Linked DNA regions of Lonchura striata. The protein of the gene in region 1 interacts with the protein of each later gene in a pairwise test. Links are inferred from orthologs where the notes say so. Each region holds a gene or a part of one and is shown in the gene's direction. Other genes may lie near its edges. The genes, in order: BNIP2, FRK and BCL2.

Region 1 (3,749 bases):
GTTGGTGGCCAGGAGTATCCACACCCTGTATGCTGAGAACATCATCGGCTTGGTGAGAGGCAGGACTTGTTTCCAAGCAGTGCTTTAGTCAGGACAAACAGGGAGAGCTGGGAGGGCAGTGGCTGGGGCAACAGCTTCACACTGCTGAAGAAGGACAAGTGAGAGGTGCAGGTGCTGAATGTTTCAAACAAGGAGAGTTCATCCTTTCAGAGGAACTAGGTTCCTAACTTCCACAAGATTTATTTAAATCTTCTGGATGAGGAGGCAGGGAAATGTCAGTAAAACAGGCTTAAATTGAGATCATTAGTGCTTAATTTGTAGTACTGCAGTTTTACAAAAAGATAACTTAATTTTTCTTTACTAATCAACTTGCATAGTATAGCTTTAAGCATTGCAGGACATTTTAAAATGAGGTCAGGAGCAGAAAAAAATTGATTTGTCATGAAAGGAAAGCTGGTGCTACAGAACAGTAAGTGTAATTTGGTTTTCAGCCAGTTAAAAAAATTATATATCTGGGTTAGTAAGCAGTATTGGTTGCATTCAAACTTTGTACTTATTGCTGTTCTTTGTTGATTGGTTCTTTGCAAAATACCATGGTTTCTTATTTTGATGTGTGTTGGTTTTCTTAATACATTCATTGATAAGTTTACCTGTTTCTGCCAATCTTTAGAGCCAACACAGCCAAGAGCTTCATCTGATTTGGACTTTTAGGTCAGCATAATGGTTTGCCATGTTCTATTATTGGGGATTCCTTGTTGCTGGTGATGGGTGAGCCTGAAAAACTACAGCTTTACTTGCACATCATAGGGTGAGTTTTCCAAAAACACTGTCTTAAATAGTTATTTTTAAAGTGTTTGTGTTGTCAGAGGTTTGTTGTTTTTTTTTTTTTTTCTTTTTAAATGGCTTATAGTTGAGATCTGACCATCTGGACTTTTTCTCAAAATATACACTTATTAATTATTGCCTATAGAATCTACAGACAATTCAGGTTTCTTACATTTTGGAGTGAACTGGTGTAATCATAAATGATAGAACAAATTGCTCAAGGCCTTAATTTTAACTGAGGGATTGATCCTCCTTGACTGCATGAAATCCCTTCCAACCTAAATTATTGCATGATAAACCATTCCACAAGGAGTTTTGTATGGGAAAAAAAAAGTAAAATGCAAACAAACAAAAAACTTTTCCTTGTATTATTTTCTTTTTATTCTGCATCATACCTCAACTTGATGATAAGTTAAAGGATGTGTTACAAGTATGGGAATTGTCACAGTATTGAACTAACACCTTCTGTTATATTCCTGCAGCTCCTCTTTAGCCCATTGTGCTGAAGCCAAGGGGTTCTGCCTGATCAGGAGTCTCTGCTAGCAATTTAAGTGAGCTGGAGAATGGAAGGAGTTGAGTTTAAGGAAGAGTGGCAAGATGAAGATTTCCCAAGGTTTTGAATTATTTTTTAAAGTAATTTGGATCAAACACATAACATCAGCAATAAGCTACCTCTTGGTCTTCCTGGTGAACTAATACTCAGTAATAATCTTGAAGTAATTTCCATTAATATACTTGTTTTGGAAAGGTTTTATGGCATATTTCTTCAGGATTGCCACCAATATTTCTGAAATGAAGATTTGTAAACTTGGCTTTATTTATTTCCTGTGATAATATTTTGCAACTACATTGTTTGCATATTACTCCCAGTGCCTGAAGGCCCAAATATTTCATTAAGTACAATTTCTGAGGAAAGTCTTTAAAAGTCAATGTTGCTACTGAAGCCTGGGACTACAAAAAGTTAAATCAGCTTCAGATGCATTCTATGATAACATGACTAAGATATTTGTGTAATTTATTTTGAGTCAAATTTTGTCAAGCAAGAATATGACAAGTTTTCTTAAGGATGACACACCGGTTGTAGTCAGTGTTTTGGTATTTGTCACAGGATGGGATGGTCACTTGAATGCTGTAAAGGAATTTTCTGCTGCTTTGGTGTTTGTTAACTGAAAGTTTGAACTTAGGCTGTAAGTAAAGTTAATTCAGTACTAACTTTACAGTGGGTTTTTCTAGCAATATGTCAGTCTTAATATATGACATTACAAAAGAGGTCAGAGCAGGTTTTTAACAATAATTTCTTTGTGTCCCAGGCCCCTGCCAGAGGATGATCCTGTTGAGTCTGAGGCATCGGCTGCAGCTGGAACAGAAAGTGAAGCTGGTACGTAAATGCCTGCTTTAAAGCTTCTTGGTTTGGGGGGATTTTTTTGCTTGTTTTGTTTTGGGGGTTTTGGGTTTTGTTGGGTTTTTTTTTGTTTCATTGGTTGGAGTTTTGGAGGTTTTTACATTTAATTTTTTTTTTTATTTTGTCCGTCTGCTTTACTTGTGGCCTTTCCAGTGCTGGATTGGTAATCTGATTTTATTCCTTGCTTTCAACTCCTGTCTAAATCATGCCAATATTTGCCTTGTACCTTTAAGCATTCTGTCTATTCACAGAACAGATTCTTTAATTTTATGTCCTCACTGTTGTCTGTAAGTATTTTTTTTTTTTAGCTTGTATATTATTTTCTATTTTATCAAAGATGGTTATGTCATCACTGAAGCCTAACAAAAGCAAGCGATAGAGACATGAATCTGTTGTATTACTTGCCAGATTTATTCAGTGTAATATATGGAGCAGCTCCTGGGACACTTGGATGAAGCAGGCAGGGGGTGGTAGTGTCTACCACCCTGCTCAGACTCTGTGTGTGCAAAAACTTGAGAACTTTTAGCTGCTGTTCTTTCCATCCCCTATTAAAGTCTTACTCCAAAGAAAGTTTAAATTATGGGCAATTATTTATAATGCATTATGAGAAAGGACTGAGCTCTTCTGTCTTGGTAATATGCTTATCTCACCTTGCTTTAGCTTTGAAAAGAAATAATTTGCTTTCTTTAGATACAGAGGGCAATGGAACCAAATTGAGGAAGAAACTAATGGCTTCAGATATTAGCTTGACTTTGGATCCCAGTGGGGAATCTGTTTTGTCTGATGACTTGGATGAGAGTGGAGAGATTGATTTGGATAATTTAGATACTCCTTCAGAAAACAGCAATGAATTTGAATGGGAAGGTGAGTATTTTGGTTCTTTTGTCTGATACTGTAAAATATTTTCTTATGTGCAGGTCAACTGTTTCTCTAGTAAGAAATAGCTATGATTCACTAGTACAAGAGGAGAGATACAAAGGGAGTGATTACATTAGGAATTAGAAATACATGCAATGACTTTTTAAAGAGCAAATCAGATCTCATCTGATTAGTAAACAGGCGAACAGTTACTAGCTGTAACTACAGCTAAACTTGGGTGAAGATCATGTACATATGCATCTAGAAGACTTGGTATTTTACGTGTTTTAGAAATGAGTTTTAAATTGAGGGAGCCAAACAATGGGATTTAGATTAGCTACTCAGAAACTGCTGAACTGCAATTTAAGGAGGATTTAAATAATAACTTAGTATTTTAAAAATACTAAGTAATACCCGATCTTAAATCTTCTCTGGTAAGAATGACAAAAGCTCAGTAGCCTTAGAGTGTGCATATTTGCATACTAACTAGAGGCAGTAGAAGAGCCTCTATTTTATGTCAAGGAATTCTGGAATGACTTCATAGGAATTTAAAGTAGTCATAGCCACGCTAGTAATGATCTCAGTTTTATTATTAATATCTTGAAGTTTTAAGACATTAATAGGTGATATATCTTACAGGCAAAACAGTGCTATTGTAATACAT
Region 2 (3,749 bases), on another chromosome or scaffold:
ACAGTTTCTAGTTCATCATTAGCCTTTTGCCTCTGACACTGGCTTCCTTATTCAAATGAATGAGACATGATGAAAGCAAAGCGACTTTGTTTTCTTTTACTTAGTTGTTTTCTTTCTAGTAAAATAAAACCACAGAAGTTGGCTTCCTGACCAAAAAAAAAAAAAGGAAAAGGAAAAAAAGAAAAAAAAGAAGAGAAAATAAAAGAAGAGAAATGAGGAGAAAAGGAAAGAGAGAAAAGAAAAGAAAAGAAAAGAAAAGAAAAGAAAAGAAAAGAAAAGAAAAGAAAAGAAAAGAAAAGAAAAGAAAAGAAAAGAAAAGAAAAGAAAAATATAGGACTCAGGCTTTTTAATCACCAGGAAGTTTTAAGTCCATGTGTGAGATTTCATTGATCTCAATAAATAGACTGATCTGTAAGAGTTTGTCTTACTGAAATGTCACCACTGTGTGCAGACAGGTTATTGCTGTGTCTTCTGTTCTTCCTGCTCCTGTTCCAACCATTCAGTGTCCCCCAGGCCGTGGTGATTTCCAGGAGACAAATCCTAGGCTGCACTGCTGTGATATGATGACCAACCCTTCAGCCAGCTTTGCCACAGCCACAGAGTATCCAGACACCTTTGCTTGGTCTGTATGCTGGATTAGAGATACTTTAGAAATAGGAATATACTGGTCAATGCAGTGTCATTGTTTACAAGCTGACTGGAAAACAGCCATTTTTTAAATATAGGGTTGATTTAATCAGCCAGCCACCAAGAAAAATGCTTTTTGGCTAGTGCCTTTGTTTCCTTAAAATGCAGAATAAGGAATGCCTTAAAATATACTGCTTTATTACTGGATGCCATATATATTTCATTTTCCTTGTAAAAAGTGCCTATCCCAGCTGAAGAAAAAAAAAAAAAAGAAATCCGTAGGGTTGTTTAGAGGGGCAGGTACTTGGCAGGGAATGTGCCTGGGTGTGAGTGAGGGCAGGAGCCACAGGTGCACTCCTGGTGAGGGCATCTGACAGTCTCAGGCGAGCAAAGGCTTCCCACTGCGAACCGAAACAAGTACAAACCAGGAAACAAAAAGAAATATTCATTCAAGCTGTCCACGTCAGACTACTGAGGAGTAGGCAGGTCAGTTTGGTTAATCATTGCCAATTCAGACATTCACCAGTGATCATATGACCAGACCACATCTGAGATAAGAAAACACCCATCCTGAGCAGAAGGAGTTGAAAGCCTCCCTTATTTACATGTTCTGGCTTTATTGTTTTGCTGTAACAGAAGAGGCTCACACTTTTCTGTTGTTCTCAGAGCTCAGCCCAGCACAGCTGTTGTGTTGCTTTCCTTTTTCTGAAGAGGAAGTGAAAAATTCCCTCCATACGTATGCTGGCACTTGAATGCTTAGGTTTCACTCCCTAATTGGGAGCGATCTGTAATGAGCTCTCCGTGGGACCCAGAGAGGAGCTTCCAGCTGTGCCAAGAGTTATTTCATTTTGTGCCAAAGGAGAAGGGGGAGAAGAAGTCTGCAAAAAGCTAAGATGTGGATGGTGCAAAAATTGGTCTAAGGGTCTTGCAACCAGGAAAAGCAAAAGAAAAGCAGAAGCAGAGGGAGCAACAAAGAATCAGGATGGGAAACTTCTTCCGGAAGCACTGTCCCTGTTTGAAGCGTTACCTTCCCTGCTTATTCTTTGGGAGAAATGGTGAGGAGGAAGACAAAGGAGGCCAGGTCTTTGCCAACCTTGCTGTTATAAAACCTGACCTCCAAGCTGGACAGAAGGACTTAGACAGTAAGATAAAAGAGAAACCTTTACCTCCACTGCCTGGCCAGGATCTAGCAAACATTTGCAACTTTGTGGCACTGTTCGACTATGATGCTCGCACTGAGGATGACTTGAGCTTCCGAGCTGGGGATAAGCTGGAAGTGCTGAGTGCATCCCATGAGGGATGGTGGTACGCCAAGCTCCTCCTGCCAGAGGGGTCAGTCTGTCCTGGCCGCAAGCTCACAGGCTACATCCCTGCCAACTACATAGCTGCTGACCAGAGCATCGAAGCTGAGCCGTGAGTAACCCATGCTGTGTGAAATGAGACTCTTTTCTGCTGTGTTAAATGGGTTTGAGACAGGAGGTCACGGCCTTTTCTCTTGCTGTGTATTACCCTGCCACACTCAGCCTCGGGTGTCCTAGAGGTGGTAGTGTTGGCTGGCATGTGCAAGGAAAAGACACCATGGTCAGAGGAAAATAAATTTCCAAAGGCAGAGTGTGGAGGGGTTTTATATTGTTTTAAATAATTTCCTTTGGTGATATACACTAATCAGTTGCTTAAAAATCATCTGGGAAGATCATGTTGGTTACTGCTGTGATGGTTCATTAATTTTATTTGTATAAGAGTAAGTGTGTATCAGACAATACCCAAAGAGTAGAAATATATGACCCCTGCCCTGAATAACCAGCTGCAAAGTTACTAGTTAATCAGTTAAAGCAAGCTACCTTTACACCTTTTTATCTTCTTCCATAAGATGGGTGAGTCCCTAACAGATAAGTTTCAAAGTGTTTCCTCTAGACTACGTGCATCTTCTCTGGAGGCAAATCTCTGCTCTCAGGACAAAATTAGCTACAGCGAGTACTGCAAAGGGAAAAAGTGGATATTACAACAGAGAACAGATGAAGGTATTAAATTTCACAGAGTTTAATTATCCATCCCATCTTTTGCCCCTTCAAAGCATGCCAGATCTTATTAAATATTCTGAAATAGATCAGAAATCACACAGAATCAGTTACTTGGCTCCCTAGTAATGATGAGGAAGGTCTGAATCAGCCTGGGCTGCACAGTTACTTCTGTGTGTTGAAGACAGAGTCAATGTTTGCTGAAATAGGTCTGACTGCAGTTCCAGAGGTATATTTTGGAAAAAATTATCACTGTGTAAAGAAATGCCATCAGCGACATTCATTATTAGTCTCAGAATGAATGTTGACTTTAGAGGGATGGTGATGCAGCCTTTCAGTTAAATGTCATTTGAACCTGAAACATCATCTTTGACCTGATCTGCCCACTGGACTGCCACAGGCTGGGAAAATTGGATCAGATATGATTATGCCAAGTCTTTTATCAGCTGTAGGATTTTTGCTAGAGGCATTTTATGGCAACTCTAAGATTAATCTCTAACCTGAAGACTTTAATTTCCAGAGTTTTACCAGCTGTTTCTGTATTCAGGCAGACAACATTTTCAATGGTCATGTTCAAAAAAATTCTTCCAACTGGAGAAATTAATCTCCAGGGAAGGCATTTTCTGAATCACTAGATAAATGGTGTTAGGCTCTAATTTAGCTCAGGTTGGCCTTTGCTCTCTTTCAAGAGCTAGTTTTCTTAGAAGTCATCAGATTTCTTCATGCTGTTAATACTTTGAAAGTAATTTTTCTGAGTTATACAACATCTCAGCTCCTAATGTCCTTATCTTTCTATATCTAGAGCTTCAAATACAAAGTTAAGTTTGCCAAATTGCATTGTTGTGTAACCTCTGTTTATTTTACTTGTTACTTGTTAAACAATTCTATATTTTTTTTTTTAATATACCTTTAGACTAAGTTACAAGAAAACATTTTTCTCTATGGATTGTTAGAACACTGGAGAGGAAACAATGGAGAGTTTTTCCAATTCTCAGATGAAGCAATTTCTCCAAAATGAGCTTTTTATTTCGCAGCAAAATTAATGTGGCTTAAACATGTTGTCTTTTCTCAGATTTCTTTCTAAGTCACTTGGCTTTAGTGGTC
Region 3 (3,749 bases), on another chromosome or scaffold:
GCGGCTGCGGCCAGCGCACACCCTCGAGGCAAAATGCACGGAGCCCTGCACGCCTGCAGCGGGCCACTTTGCTTTTTAAAAAGGTGTATTCCGACTTCTTTATTTTCTTTTTTTTTTTTTTTTCTCCCTCCCCGTTTCATTTACTAAAAATAAAATTAAAAAAAAAAAATTAAATGAATCCGCGCGGGGCGGCAGAGGCGCGGAGCGGGACCGGCAGCCCCCGGCTCCGCCGCCGCTTCCTCCGCACGGGCGGTGGGGCGGCGCGGGCCGGCAGCACCGCCCGCGGCCCCGGAGCCCGCCGCTCCTCCGCTCCCGCGGCTCCGCCGCGCTCCGCGCCGCCCCCGCCGCCCCGCCGCCGGCCCCAGGCCCGCGCCGCGATGGAAGGCGGGCCCGGACTGCGGGGGGCTGCTCGCCTCCCCCCGCCGCCGCCTATTTTTTTTTTTTTCTTTTCTTTTTTTTTTTTTTTTTAAGCACCCTCCCCATTTCCCCCTTTTCTTGAATGAAGCGTGAGGCGGAGCTCTAGGAAACCACCGCGCCCGGCTACGCCGAGCGGAGCCGGAGCCTCCCCCTCGGGCTCCGCTCCTCCCCGCCTCTCCCCGCCCCCGCCGCTCCGCTGCGCTCCCCCCGCCGCCGCCACCGCCGCCGCCGGGAGAGCTCCCCGCCCGCGCCCGCCGCCGCTCGGAGCCGCCGCCGCCGTCCGGAGCCGCCGCTGCCGCCGCCGCCGCCGGCAGCAGCAGCAGCGCGGAGCGCCCGGAGGAGCCGCCCGCAGCCGGCGGGTGCGCGGGGCTGCGCGGGCGGGCGGGCGGGCGAGCAGCGGCGCCGCGGCCGCGGTCCCCATCGGCACCAGTCACACCGCACACACGCCCCGTCCGCGCCCCTGTTCGGCAGCGCCAGGGGCTCTTCCTCCGCCGATACAAAGCTGCTCGGGAAATGGCAGCAGTCAAAAGCAATTTTCCTTCTTTATTTTTATTTTCGTTTTTTAATTAATTTTTTTCCGCGCTTTCTTGTGAAAAAGAATTAATTTCCTAAATACATGCAATTTTTTTTTTTATTTTTAAATTTTTGGGTGTGTGCGTGCGTGTGTGTGGAAGCACCGCGTTCCTGCGATCGGTGTCTGAATGAAACTACGTAAATGCATATGTCTGTACGTTGCACTGGAGGGGAAAACAGAGCACTTCTGCGAGAGCTTGGATTCAAATGTGGTTCATCTGGTCTCCAGGATTTTCCGTCTCTTTGGGGTTGTTCGCCTTCCCGGTCTGCGAGGCGGGATTTTCTGAGCTTTGACACATCTTTGGAGATGTCTGTTAAACAGGAGTCTGGGAAAAAACATTTGAAATCGTAGAAATTTTTTTTTTGCCCCGTTCCTATCCCCTTGTTGACTTGAAGCATCAAAAGCAACCAGAACTTAACGCTTCTGAAGACTTGTGATGTTTGGATTTTATTGTTGCTATTTTTCTTTTAAAGGAAACTTGACAGAGGAACATATCTATAGTCCAAGTAAGTACTTTACAGAGGAAACTTAGTTTGTGTAACAAAAAAAACCCCAAATCCTAATGTTGAGGTTTCTGTCTTAAAGTGCATTGGATTAACGTCCATCCAAGGCTGCTTTAGCAAATTGTGTTGAATTGCAGTTTTTACAGTGTGTGTTCATCTGCTCCTTCGTGTCCATGGTAGTCCAGCACCTAGGGGAAAATGCACCTGATTTTGAATCGGTATAATATTTTTTAAGATGTATTTCAACACCGAGGAGGAAATGGTCCTAACGTAAATATATAATAAGTAATAAATGTGCACCTGGAAGTAAAGTATTTACAGCATTGTAATCCCTATTTATGCCGTGCATCTCAAACCAAGGAGGAAACACTGAGAAGACAAAAGTACCTCCGAGACCCCGAGAACTCCCCCACACCAGCATGAATGAAACTGTGTCCAATACAATAACTGGATTATAATTTTTGGTGTTATTAATTTTATTATTATTGGCTGCTTTACTTTTTTGGGTTCATCCTGCTCCTCTTCTTCCTCTCTCCCTTCCTCTTGCTGCTTCCTCGTGGGAATTATGGCTCATCCGGGGAGAAGAGGCTACGATAACCGGGAGATAGTGCTGAAGTACATCCACTATAAACTCTCTCAGAGGGGATATGACTGGGCTGCCGGTGAGGACAGGGTATCCCTGCCTCCAGATCACTCCGCTTCTGCTGCTGCTGCGATTGCTGCTGCTGGGACTTCTGATCACACTGGGCTGGTGTCTCCGCACCCCGAGCCCCCCGGCTCGGCTACTGCTAGCCACACGCCCCCGGCAGAGGGGCTGCGCCCTGCACCCCAGGTCGTCCACCTCGTCCTGCGCCAGGCGGGGGATGAGTTCTCCCGACGCTACCAGAGGGACTTTTCCCAAATGTCTGGCCAGCTGCACCTGACGCCCTTCACGGCCAGGAGCCGCTTCGTGGCGGTGGTGGAGGAGCTCTTCCGAGATGGGGTTAACTGGGGCAGAATTGTGGCCTTCTTCGAGTTTGGCGGTGTGATGTGTGTGGAGAGCGTCAACCGAGAGATGTTTCCCCTCGTGGACAACATTGCCACCTGGATGACTGAGTACCTGAACCGGCACCTGCACAACTGGATCCAGGACAACGGAGGCTGGGTGAGTCCCCTGACTGCTCGGTTCCTCTCCTGGCTCTGGCCCGTGGCTGGCTGGACCCCGGTTTGGGCAGTGCCCGGGGGATGGCACTTGTGGGAGCAAAAAGTTTGTCCAGGGGGTGTCTGCACTGGGATGTGCCAAAGCAGTGCTGGCCTTCTGCCAGTTGTCAAGTTTCACCTGGATGCAGGGTAGGGTGGAGTGGTTTGAGGTTGGGGGAACAGCTACAGCTTGTGAGCAACAAGGATGAGCAAGGCTGTGTCTTTATCAGCGGTCTCCACTTTCCTGTGGTCTCCACTTCTCCTGTCCGCCCACGCCTGTTGGCAGAACCGAGGCAGGTTCCTAGCCAAGGCAGGTCATGCAGTGGGGTGGGAGGGGGCAGCAGAGATGCCTATCCAGCTGCCAGGCAGAAGAGGCACATGGTGGGAGGTCCCAGGCAGTGTTGGGACAGCAGGGACCACCTGTGTGTGCATGCAGTATCCCCAGCCGTGAGAGGTGATGCACCAGACCAGTGTGCAACAAACATGAGATCCTGGCAAGCAGGTAGCCATCAGTGACAGTGTCTGCCGCTGTGGTCGTCACTGGAGTGGGGTTTTATGGGATAAGATATGTCTAGAGTGAAAAATCTTCATCTTGAGATGAAACAAAGGTGCTGGGAGCTGTGTCTGTGGGATTGTTCTAGAAAATGAGTGATGGGCAGCTGTGTTTCTGGGGTAGAGATCACCTCTGTCTGGGGCAGGCTTCAGCATCAACTAGAAAGGCAAGATTTCCATTTGTGGAAAATGGATAGCTTTTTCACTTGTAGTCAGTCAAAAGCTTTTCCTTTTTCTCTCTCCCCCTCTTTCCAGAAGTAACTGCATTGAATTAGAAGGATAACTGTTTCCTTTTTTCCTTTATTAGTATGATGTACTGGAACAAAATGTGGTCCCAGCCACTCTCCCACAAACCAAACCTGTTGTATGTGTAGAGCTTATGATATTACTGTTTTGGAGGGAGAAATGGCAAAAGTTATACTGAAGAAGAAACCTGGGTTGAAAGCTGGCATAACTCACCTAGAAATGGAGGTCAGCTAGGTAGGACACTGGCAATTTCAGGTTTGGTCTCCTGTGAAATACAG

Evidence for each region.
Region 2: the proteins of BNIP2 (region 1) and FRK interact in binary tests that used the Homo sapiens proteins (3 or more experiments, as listed by UniProt). The two-hybrid records come from large-scale screens. The link is inferred for Lonchura striata from reciprocal best matches to the Homo sapiens genes BNIP2 and FRK.
Region 3: the proteins of BNIP2 (region 1) and BCL2 interact in a two-hybrid assay, tested with the Homo sapiens proteins (3 studies listed by BioGRID and IntAct). The link is inferred for Lonchura striata from reciprocal best matches to the Homo sapiens genes BNIP2 and BCL2.

What each region holds. Positions count from the first base shown.
Region 1 is NC_134613.1:9,134,197-9,137,945, forward strand, and holds the start of BNIP2 (BCL2/adenovirus E1B 19 kDa protein-interacting protein 2), read left to right. Parts: upstream 1-1,329; 5' UTR 1,330-1,388; coding exon 1,389-1,438; intron 1,439-2,135; coding exon 2,136-2,203; intron 2,204-2,917; coding exon 2,918-3,091; intron 3,092-3,749.
Region 2 is NC_134605.1:66,374,663-66,378,411, forward strand, and holds the start of FRK (tyrosine-protein kinase FRK), read left to right. Parts: upstream 1-1,189; 5' UTR 1,190-1,609; coding exon 1,610-2,040; intron 2,041-3,749. UniProt on the Homo sapiens protein: Non-receptor tyrosine-protein kinase that negatively regulates cell proliferation.
Region 3 is NC_134603.1:96,441,721-96,445,469, forward strand, and holds the start of BCL2 (apoptosis regulator Bcl-2), read left to right. Parts: upstream 1-819; 5' UTR 820-2,059; coding exon 2,060-2,638; intron 2,639-3,749. UniProt on the Homo sapiens protein: Suppresses apoptosis in a variety of cell systems including factor-dependent lymphohematopoietic and neural cells. Regulates cell death by controlling the mitochondrial membrane permeability. Appears to function in a feedback loop system with caspases.